2 linked regions of the Schizosaccharomyces pombe genome follow. The protein of the gene in region 2 interacts with the protein of the main gene of each other region in a biochemical or structural test. Each region holds a gene or a part of one and is shown on either strand. Other genes may lie near its edges.

Evidence for each region.
Region 1: the proteins of cig2 (region 2) and pop1 form a complex in vitro, tested with the Schizosaccharomyces pombe proteins (one study listed by BioGRID).

What each region holds. Positions count from the first base shown.
Region 1 is NC_003423.3:3,467,309-3,472,417, forward strand, and holds pop1 (cullin 1 adaptor protein Pop1), read left to right. Parts: upstream 1-1,819; 5' UTR 1,820-2,034; coding exon 2,035-4,362; 3' UTR 4,363-4,577; downstream 4,578-5,109. Other genes in the region: beta-glucosidase Psu2, read right to left, coding at 1-221; synaptonemal complex-associated protein hop1, read left to right, coding at 5,011-5,105.
Region 2 is NC_003424.3:2,707,835-2,714,694, forward strand, and holds cig2 (G1/S-specific B-type cyclin Cig2), read left to right. Parts: upstream 1-1,947; 5' UTR 1,948-3,245; coding exon 3,246-4,481; 3' UTR 4,482-5,218; downstream 5,219-6,860. Other genes in the region: mitochondrial [2Fe-2S] cluster assembly and transfer glutaredoxin Grx5, read left to right, coding at 263-612, 945-1,035; P2 type calcium transporting P-type ATPase Pmc1, read right to left, coding at 5,219-6,860. UniProt on the Schizosaccharomyces pombe protein: Essential for the control of the cell cycle at the G2/M and G1/S (mitosis) transition. Interacts with the cdc2 protein kinase to form MPF. Interaction with res2 promotes the phosphorylation of res1 and inhibits MBF-dependent gene transcription.

The DNA of each region.
Region 1 (5,109 bases), on a different chromosome or scaffold from region 2:
TTTTGATCATCAGGAAAAGAGGAGCAGTCGTATACGCCGTCAGGAAAACCACCGTCTCTTTTTGAAAAAGCGGTAGTGTTTGTGACATTGACACCAACAGTTATATTGCTAGCATTCAAACCGGCATGATGGTGATGGTGATAGGGAGCATTACCAAGAGGCATAGCTGAAACCAAAGGAATGGCGGAAACCGCAAAACAAAGAAAGTTGTTAAAGAGCATTTTTAGATTTAAAAGATTTGACAGGAATCTAACGATTGACTTTATAAACGATAGGATATGCTAGTAACTTGATACTAGAAAATAAAAGAAAGATGGTAAAGAATATAATGGTCTTTACCTTTTGCGGTTCTGATTGTTTAATTTCAGCTCACGGCTTTTCCCTAAAAATCAGCTCAGCTTTATATACATTTCTTTTTTCAAGCACTTCACCATCTTTTGATTAAGAGCCGTGGCGTTTTGCCACTAATTAACCATGAAAGCCTGTAAGTTTTCAACGTTGATTTTTTCAGAAAATTTCTAACCATAAACCCGAAATAATTAGCGCCAAAACAGTCAACTATTGCGCTCCAATCATTGCTTGCCTTGCTATCGGCTTTGTATTCATTGGCTGATAACTTAATTAAAAATGAACTTAAAAGTCAGTTGATAAATTCAACCAATTAAATGCGTGAATTTGATCTACCCCAGGAAAATTTATACTGTCCCGGGGTCGCGGGGCGTTCAATCATTCATTTCAAAGCAAATTATTATTATTTCCAAGCCAAGTAATTTAATTTTTGTTTATCGCTTTAGCTTTCTTATCATAAGGAAGTTCTTGGTCCCCTGGGCCTTTTGCAATTGAATTGCGCGGTGTACGTAAGCCTAATGACATCCCTGTATACCTAACTTACAAATACGTTGGCTCGACTCAACGTTATATTGATTTTCTCCTAATACTATTAAATATATTTAATAATCTCTTGGGAAAGTAATCTGGTACATACAAATCATCCTAGATATAAGAGGCTCGGTGCATTTCGGCAAATGATGTTCTGCAGCTCATTAAATATGATATAATATTAATTAATTAATATCGTGTTTACACTCGGTTTATCGGTTTGCTATGCTAAGAACTTTTACGGATAACAATTTAATTATTTATCTTGGTAGCGTATTTGACGCTTCTTTGGATACTGAGATTAAGTCAAATTTTGAATGGAGAGAAGTCGAATAATAGCCCAATGCCTGCCGAAATTACCCGATGCATGTCATTGACGAGACAAAAAATTTCTTTCAACGGCCTAAGAAAATGATGTACTAGAAACGCCATCTTAGTCTGACATTTTACATTTTACGCTCATGCTCAAATTTTATTAATAAATTATTATATGTGTCCGTGTCATTTAGAATATGACAGGGGAGGGTAATCTCTTTCCCAACTTTATTGGCGTGTAATGAAATTCGCGAGCTACTATTGTGTCTGCATTCTTTAGCTGCAAAAACGCAACGGAAAAGACAATTTTATAATATGAATACTTCACGTGTTCATTGTTTTTGTCTTTAGAGAATTTATTTGAAAATGCTGAGGAGGTTAATATCTGGTATACAATTAAAACACTATCGCAAATAATGTAAAAAAAAATAATATTGAGGAGCCATAACTAAGTCATATAACTTTTCTTATTGAACTATTGTTATGTCGCGATTTAGTCGTATTTACCATAAACTATAAAAACTTTTCTTAATCAACAGTAAAATTGTTACTTATTCTGGTGTTACTTACACCTCCGCTTGCGTAGAGTGAATTTAAAATTCATTGCCAAGAGTTTATGGTCTTTACGATCTATCTCGCTGAACTTCAAAAAAACCAAGAAAAAGTATTGCTCTAATGCATTAAGACGATAACTATTTGCAAAATAATTTCATATACATGTTTCCCAACGGGCAGTTGTTTTAAGTAAATTCATCAGTATCGATTCTTGAACCAGGTTCTCTAACATCATAAAAGAACTTGACAAATACTTTTCTACTAAGTGTCTGTAAACTACTTGAAATGAATGAGAAGAAAAAAGATAGCCTATCTGTTTTAGATTCCAATGAATTTTTCGGTGAGACAACTATGGTATCACCGAGTATTGATGTTTCCTCTTCTCCCCGGCCAAATGTCGAGAGATTTTCTCCATGTTCCACTAAAAAAGATCTCCTGGAAGGAAATAATATAATGACCAGAATTCCCGAGGAGCTTAGTCGTGTTAGTCTACAATTTGATAGCAAGGGAAGTCAGCAATCGATGATATTTACTAACAATCGATGTTTATCTGATAAAGAAAATTTGGAAAACTTGCAAAATCTTTTATATCTACATTGTGATCTTAACCGGCCCCATTTGAGTTGTGAGCTGCCGTCAGAGCATCGCGAAAAGTGCCTTAAACGCCGTAACTCTAGTCTCAGCTCTAATTTGCATGCTAATAAGCGGTTTCTCTTCAATTCTCAAAGTGATGGGAATAAAAAGAATGAAACTTTTCCTTCTACTAACTACTCGAACGTTTTCTACCCAAACAACTGTGACAGTAAGGAAGTCGCTAGTGAAACAACATTCTCACTTGATGCACCAAATAATTCTGTTAATTACTCTTATTTTTCTCCTAATTTACTCGGCAACGATTCCAAAACCCGTCAATCTTTTCCCCCTCATTCATCTTCATCTTCACATAATTCTTTGCATGAACCTGTCATATATGATTTTTCTTCAGAAAATCCTAGCATTCATCCTTCTAATCATTTGAGCTCTCAAAAAAATGCTGTTTTGAAATTAGCACAATTAATTTCTTCCTTCGAAAAATTACCCGAAAGTGTTCGTCAATACTTACTTTTTCATCTTCTTTCTCGATGTGGAAAACATGCTGTTCAAAATATTCACAAAATTCTGCTTCCTATCTTTCAAAAGAACTTTTTAACTGGATTTCCGGCTGAGATTACAAATTTAGTGCTTACGCATTTAGATGCACCTTCATTGTGTGCAGTTTCGCAAGTTTCGCATCACTGGTATAAGTTGGTATCGTCCAACGAAGAACTTTGGAAAAGTCTCTTTTTAAAAGATGGTTTCTTTTGGGATTCAATTGATAGTAAAATCCGTACGATGTGTTTAGAACAATCTTTGTCAGCCTGTGCGATAATGAAGCGGGTCTATTTTAGACATTTTAATCTTCGTGAAAGATGGCTCCATGCCCCGGAGAAAATTAAGCGATGTTCATTCCCAATTCATGGAGTTCGTCTTATTACCAAACTTCAGTTTGATGATGACAAAATAATTGTTAGCACCTGCAGTCCTAGAATTAATATATATGACACGAAAACAGGTGTCCTGATACGCAGTTTAGAAGAGCATGAAGGTGATGTTTGGACTTTTGAATACGTTGGGGATACTTTGGTTACTGGCTCCACAGACAGGACAGTAAGAGTCTGGGACCTTAGAACCGGTGAATGTAAACAGGTGTTTTATGGACACACGTCAACAATCCGTTGTATCAAAATAGTTCAAGGCAATCAAAGTACTACTGATACTGATGATGTGGAAAAAGAAAACAGACCAGCTTCAAATGATGCTAATTCAATGCCTCCGTATATAATTTCAAGTTCAAGGGATTGTACGATCCGTTTATGGAGTCTTCCATGCCTTGACGATCCACCATTTGTTAATGTAAATGAAAATCCTGATCAGAATAATGACTTTACTTCAGCTACGACCAATCCGTTTTACATCCGAACATTACGTGGTCATACGGACTCGGTACGTGAAGTTGCTTGTCTTGGAGATTTGATTGTCAGTGCCAGTTATGATGGTACTCTTAGAGTATGGAAGGCATCTACTGGCGTTTGTTTACATGTTCTTCGGGGACACGTCGGGAGAGTATACAGTGTCACAATTAATCCTTCTCGTCAACAATGTATCAGCGCTGGTACGGATGCTAAAATTCGTATTTGGAACCTTGAGTCTGGAGAACTTCTACAGACCCTTCATGGTCATTCGAATTTGGTAAGTCAAGTTACATTTAACCAAAATATCTTGGTATCCGCTTCTGCTCCTCCTGATACATCGTTGAGAGTTTGGGATCTAAACACCGGAAGTTGTCGAGATATTTTAAAATGTCCTTTGGGACACATATTTTTTCAACACGACGAGAGCAAAGTTGTCAGTGGAAGCCATAGTACGCTACAGTTATGGGACATTCGTTCCGGAAAGTTAGTAAGAGACCTATTGACTGATTTGGATATAATCTGGCAAGTTGCTTATAATGAAAATGTATGTGTGGCTGCTGTTTTAAGAAATAACCGTTTTTGGATCGAGGTCCTAGAGTTTGGATCTACTAAATCTTCTTGAGCTTTTATAAGTTGAGATACTAGAAATCTATAAAAGATCTCGAAATTTTATTTTACGTTTCCAAACTGAAATAGATTCATGCTATTTATTCTGGAAACTCCTCTATCATATAATATTTGTCTAATTGTTTGTTGACTTTTAAATGTTTACTCATAATTTTCTTTTTTAAATATCTAATAAGAATGCAAAATAATATTTTTTTAAATGATCTATTCTACATTTATAAATTATTTAGTGTTAAATTCGTTTGTTGAGGCCAAAATTTTTTTACCAAAGGGATAAGCGAATTTCTTGAATCCTTAGCTTCAAATAGCGTCCATTCTACCCAAAAGCGTACTATATTTTTATAATTAGCAAACTATAGTAAATAAAAAAACAAACATTTTAGCTTTGTAAATGTAAAAAGACATTTAATTTAACAAAAGGCTTTTACATTACTTCATAAGCTACCAAATGTCTTCATCGTAAAACATGCTTTTCGCATTCCATTTATCTATGTAAGCCATTTTAGTGTAGTTTAAAGTGTTGGAAAACCACAGGTGGGACTGTAATATACGTACACTTAAGACGCGTTCGACGCGTTCACAAAATTACCATATATAGATATCAACTTATCAAATACCCTTTACTTCTAAGTATAAATGACAAATGAATTCATACAAAGAGGAAATTCTGCAAACTAAGTCTGACTTTACTCTTAAAAATTTAATTTTCTTCGCGATATCAACATTATGCTATAAGCGGTAC
Region 2 (6,860 bases):
CTCGAAATCAGAAACTGATTAGTACAATATTAAGTCTTTTATCCCACGATATACTTTTCTAATAAAATAAATATTCTTATAAAACTTTTCTAAAAGTACTGATTTTCTATAATATTATACTGATTTAAGACTTGGAAGAATTCTATATAGCGCAATAGAACGTGGTACGGCTTCTTACACTTTTATCTGCGGCGAATCAATGAGTTGACATTCAAGCTCAAAATTGCCTTATTATAAACACTTTACAATATCCATATTCAAGATGAATTCGATGTTTAGATTTTGGATTCCTAAAACCAGTATATCCATGCAACTTCGCATGCTGTCCACACAAACTCGTCAAGCTCTTGAACAGGCCGTCAAAGAGGATCCTATCGTTTTATTCATGAAAGGTACACCTACCCGCCCAATGTGTGGATTTTCATTAAAGGCGATTCAAATTCTTTCATTAGAAAACGTTGCTTCCGATAAATTAGTTACGTACAACGTTTTGAGTAATGATGAGCTACGTGAAGGTATAAAGGAGTTCAGCGACTGGCCTACGATTCCTCAACTTTATATTAACGGAGAATTCGTGGGCGGTAGTGATATCTTGGCGTCCATGCATAAATCGTAAGTAATGTTTTAAACTGTATTTTTATTATTTGGTAGAGAGACGGTGAGGATTGAGGAGGTGTCATAGGAAATGTTAAAGATGATGAAGGAGGATTCTACAACTGTTTAATCACTCTAGTTGATATTAAAGATAAAAAAACCCTGTTATATTTTCGCTCTTTCTTCAAATGAACTTTCCCTTTTAAAGCATTGGATAAAAATCAACTATTAGTGTATCAGTGTCTTTAATTCGTCGTCTATATATGCCACATTGTTCTCTCCCTCATTTTTTCTCTCATATTTAATTATTTCTCCTTGTCAACATTTCTGTATTAACAATTTGTCTGTAGAGGAGAGCTTCACAAAATTCTAAAAGAAATAAATGCTTTGGCCCCTGAACAGCCAAAGGATAGTGAAGAGGAAACTACTAAAAAGGATTGAGTCCACATTGCAAATTAATTTGCACAACGTACCACGGTCTTGTGCATTTTTTAGTTTATTGGTCAACTTGACACCACAGGCCATGTATATCAATCAGACGTTATTCAATTATCTTTTTGCTGTACGCTTGATATTCTTTAATGAAGCTTTGAAATTCTGTTTCTCCTCTTTTTTGTGTTCATGCCCTTTCATGACAAAATGTTGGAAATAATGTAAAAGAGCTCTATAAGAAAAAATAATTTTTATCGGAAGTTATTTTTTGGATCAACCTCAATATCAATTTGAAAGCGATCATGTTCATGTTCATGTCCATCCAAATGACATAGAGAATGGAAATTAGTGTCGTGATTTATGCCTTATTGTTATTCCTTGACTTTTTTTTTAAAAAAAATGTCGTAAATTAGATTTAATGTTAAAGCGCTATTGCTGAATACTGTTTTATTTTGCTTATGTTGTTGCACAGAACAATGTCTTGGTAGGTGTAATTCACAGAAAGCATTACGATTGGTTATCTGATATGATTTAAAAATTCTTCTTTGATTATATAAAGTACTGGCTTATCGACGTTACGAGACGTTTACCAAACTTTTATTAACAGATGCTTGTGTTTCTTGACAAACAACATTATTCCTTCCAAGCTCAGCATATAGCGAATTATAGTGTAACTGCGATATAAAGTATTAGCGAACTCTCCCTTTTTAATTCTATTCAAATTGCGTTAGTTTGTGTAGCATGTAATGACGGCACGCGCATAGTGAATTGTAATATACAAAACGCTACACCAAAGCGCGCGCTCTAAAACACGCCAAAACGAGGTGCACGCAACTTAGCTTGCGCGAAAGCGCGTTTCTCGCGTCGCGTCGCGTTTACTTCTTTTATATGCTTGCTATGCCTGTCTTTTGCTTTTTCACTGACACTTTGACTTGTGTTGAGTTACAAGAAAGGCTTCAAAGGCACTTGTACAAGTGTAATTTCCCTTTTACAAGACTCTACCAAAGGTTGGATCCACCTTGAAGTCCTTCTCTTGTTGTCGCTGCTTTTTGCGTTTCTTCTTTTCTCTTTGAATATTCCTTCTTTCTAATTTCTTTTTTCAAATACATGCTATAGGGATCAGTTTAGGCTCCATATACTAGGTTGAGCTGGTTTTAACTGTAAACAATAGTAAATTAAGCTTTCAGTATTTTGAGTGTCAAGCTAGTTTTTACTCCGGAGTATCTTATTTCTACTGTACTTATTTTCTTTTAATTAATTTTTTACACTTTTCAGCTGCTAAGTGTCGGTTTCTATTGTGTACTTTACCGTTTTAAGTTTCTTTGTTTTCTTTGTTCTGGTTCGCTTATTGTCCTACTCTTTTACAGGAGGCGCTTGCCAAAGACAGTCATTTCTCTTATAACAAGTACACTATATCTTATTAAAACATAATTAATCGTCCCCTTTCGATATTAGTGCAACAATTGCTATCCTACAGTCTTCCCAATTGCAATTTATTTAGCCTTTCAGCATTGCTCTCGCCCTCAAGCTGAAAAGGTTTTACTCGCTTTTCTTGCTGGAAAAATAACACCTACATTTGTTATTCTTTTAAATTCGAACTATCAAACTTATTTGCTTGTATTGTTCGTCTTAGTGCTGCTTTTTCTGATCCATCGTTTGTTTATCAAACCTTCAACTTTGCTTTTTCTAAACTAATTACAAAGAAGTGTTCTTTTTAATTCTCTTCGTTAATCATTGTCCCTTTAAACTACGCTCTTGTGCTTTATAAGAGTTAATTCTGCATACCTCAAAGAGGTAAATTCATTTTCGAATCGAACGTTAAAAAATTTATCTTTACTTTTTTTTCTTTCTCAATTTTGATTACATCTGCTTGTTTTTTTTTTTCGTTTATATCCACAACAGTAGGTTGGTTTGGTTTGTTTACACAATTCATTTGTTTATGTTTGGACGATTTCTTTCCCTTTCTTCCTATCAACAACAATAGAATAATTCGGACCCATTGATTTATTCTCATTTAAAAGAGAAACTTTAAAAATTCGCTATAAGTGCTTTCTGTTTCTCGATCGCTCAATTTCCCTAATTTATCCATCTTGTCAATTGAGATTAATTTACCAAAAACAGTTTCCTTATTTTAATAAAAAGAAGACATTTTTGGTTACAAACAATCAGATATATTTCTATACGTTGATAAAAGGGTAATTTATCAATCCATATTTCATATGGCTCTCTATTCAATTTCAAAGCCTGTTGGTTCTAAAATCAATAAGCATAGTTATCAAGATGAAAACACACTTGTTGGCAAACAAGCTTTATCAAAAGGGACTGAGAAGACAAAATTATCTACAAATTTTGAAATTAATCTGCCACGTCGAACTGTCCTATCTGATGTTTCCAATGTAGGTAAAAATAATGCTGATGAGAAGGATACGAAAAAAGCGAAAAGATCGTTCGATGAATCTAATTTATCTACAAATGAAGAAGCTGATAAACCTGTCGAATCTAAATTCGTGAAAAAGTTGAAAGTTTATAGCAAAAATGCGGATCCATCTGTAGAAACTTTACAAAAGGACAGAGTCTCTAATGTTGATGATCATTTATCCTCCAATCCTTTGATGGCTGAGGAATACGCACCCGAAATATTTGAGTACATCAGAAAGCTGGATTTAAAGTGTCTTCCCAATCCAAAATATATGGACCAACAAAAAGAATTAACCTGGAAAATGAGGGAAATTTTGAATGAATGGTTGGTGGAAATACATTCCAACTTTTGTTTAATGCCCGAAACCCTTTATTTGGCAGTCAATATAATTGATCGATTCTTGTCGCGTCGTTCATGCTCTTTGTCTAAATTTCAATTAACAGGCATTACTGCTCTTCTCATCGCTAGCAAATATGAGGAGGTTATGTGTCCTTCGATACAAAACTTTGTTTACATGACTGATGGTGCTTTTACCGTAGAAGATGTCTGTGTCGCTGAACGTTATATGTTAAATGTTCTCAATTTTGACTTGTCCTATCCAAGTCCTTTAAATTTTCTTCGCAAAATATCTCAAGCAGAAGGTTATGATGCACAAACAAGGACATTGGGGAAATACCTAACAGAAATTTATCTGTTTGACCACGATTTATTACGATATCCTATGTCTAAAATTGCTGCTGCCGCAATGTATTTGAGCCGCCGATTATTGCGTCGCGGCCCATGGACGCCAAAGTTAGTTGAAAGCTCTGGTGGGTATGAAGAGCATGAATTAAAGGAGATAGCGTATATTATGCTTCATTATCATAACAAGCCTCTAGAACACAAAGCCTTTTTCCAAAAATACTCCTCAAAAAGGTTCCTGAAGGCTAGTATTTTTGTTCATCAACTCGTCCGTCAACGATACTCAGTCAATCGTACGGACGATGATGACCTTCAATCAGAACCGTCTTCTTCTTTAACAAATGATGGTCACTAACGAACGCTCTTATAAATTTTCTTACGCAAATATTCTGTTGAATATGAGGTTGAGCTCTTCTTTTATTATTTATTATCATAACTTATTTACTTTTTAAAGAGCTTCTTTTTCTTCTTCTCTTTCTTTGAATCTTATCATCTTTATGCAAGGACTGTTTTCAAGTATGTCATCAAGCCTTTCCTCCTTGATAACTAAGTCCTTAATTATATACCATATACCCAAGTTTTATCCAAGAGTTTTAGAATTGAAAATTTTGTAGTCTACTAAACAAACCGTGTTGATGCTTAATCCTCACACATTGTCTTTTAGATGATTCCGTTGATTCTAGAGTATTCGATAATTTCATTCCTTACTTTATGTTACGTTTACATTTTTTATTTCAAAATACGTGTACGTTGTTTCCTCATATTTCTGTTAAACAACATGTTTCTAATTAATGGAGTTTTCTTTATTCATTCATAAAACTTAAAGCTCAAGCGGTATATAACAAACTGGCTAAACCATTAATAGGCAAAAACCAAGTAACTCATAAAGATAAACAAAGAAAGTAGACATAAGGAAAAAGGTAAAGCTGACTCGTTTTCTATACAAAAAGGGAATTTTTAAACCTAAGAAACAAACTTTTAATTGATAACAAATATAGAAAAAGAAGGCGATTTCCAACGAGAATAAGGAAATAAAAAAGAAAAATTCGATAATAGAATCACTGTTATTCTGTCTCATACATTCGTCTTAAATTAATGAACATTTGAGCTTTTTTTATCGAGAGCTTGGCGATTGTGAGAAATCCAAATGTCATGCCCACCTAATCGTCCGCTGGCTTCACTAACAAGTGTTGAGATAGGAATCATTAAAGCTACGCTAGTAGCTGAAGAAACAGAAGGTGAACGGATCTTCATAAATCTCTGTTTTACACGGGGACGAAGACGTTCAGGAAGCGCTTCCATCTGTTTATCAAATTTGGAGTTGTTGAGTAGGTGGCGTATCCTTCCTCCTCTAATGCGTTGAACGAAGCCAAGGGAATGACGAATAGAGTCAATAACTTCGTTGGGAGATGTGGGTTCATACGGGATAAGACTAAGGGATTCAACATCATGATCGGTTGAACGGCGCTTAGAACGGAACCTAGGATTTAGAATCCAAGAGAAAACAGTGTCAATTGTCTTAACCGGAAGGACCTTTCTTAGGAAATTGTTTGGTACACAACGAATCAAGGCTCCAAGTGGGATAGAGATAACACCAAACACGATGGAAATCGCCCATCCTTTACCATCGATTCTTTTTACGGAGAATGCGGCACCTCCGAAAAAAACAATTATAACTTGGATACCAGCAACAATAACGAAAATAGCAATAAAGAGGAAGTTATGGTTAATACGTTCAAAAATATTGAGCTTGTTATCCAATCTCCGATTGTTAATTTCGTTAAACAGCTGGAGCCAGACAAAGGTATTGAAAACAATAGTATTCATGTCCGCAGTATTGGAAGGGTAATGGAAGATACTATTACCAGCAAAGTGTAGCACCAAAGTAACAGCAAGTTGGTACATAGATTGACAAATAATCATTTTCCACATGTCAAAAGTAAAAAGCGATGCACCTGGTTTCTCAGGTTTCCTCTTTAACACTTCAGGAGTAGGAGGGTCAGTGGCAAGTGCAAGAGCAGCAAGTGTATCCATAATTAAATTAACCCACAAAAGCTGAACAGCAGTTAAAACAGAGCTTTGGTCAGTCGAGGCAACAGCAGAGATAATAGTCAAGAAAACAGCCGTAATATTCACGGTAATTTGAAATTGCAGGAATTTTTTTACAGCGTCGTTAACGGTTCTTCCCCAAGCAATTGCTTTCACAATTGACGAGAAGTTGTCGTCCATAAGGATAATATCGGACGCCTCCTTGGCAACTTCGGTTCCCGATTTACCCATTGAAAAGCCGACGTTAGCTTTTTTTAGTGCAGGCGCATCATTGGTACCATCACCTGTAACCGCTACTACGTTACCAAGCTTCTGCAGTCCTTCAATCAATAACTGTTTGTCCAAAGGAGATGAGCGTGCAAGTACATCTAATTTGGGTAAGATTTCTAAGCGTTTCTCATCAGAAAGAGATCGAAATTCCGGTCCTTCCATGGATATTCCATCCTCTGTGTAAATTCCGCACTGCGAAGCAATAGCCTTAGCAGTAACAATATTATCACCAGTAACCATACGAACAGTCACCCCTGCACCTTGGCAAACCTTTACAGCCAAAGGTACATCTGGCCGAATAGGGTCCATGATACCGAAAAATCCTAAGAAAGTCATGTCTGTAAATGCGTCTTCCCATTTCAAAGGATTAGAACTATCCTCGTCATTGGTGGGAATATCTTTGGGAGGCCAAGAG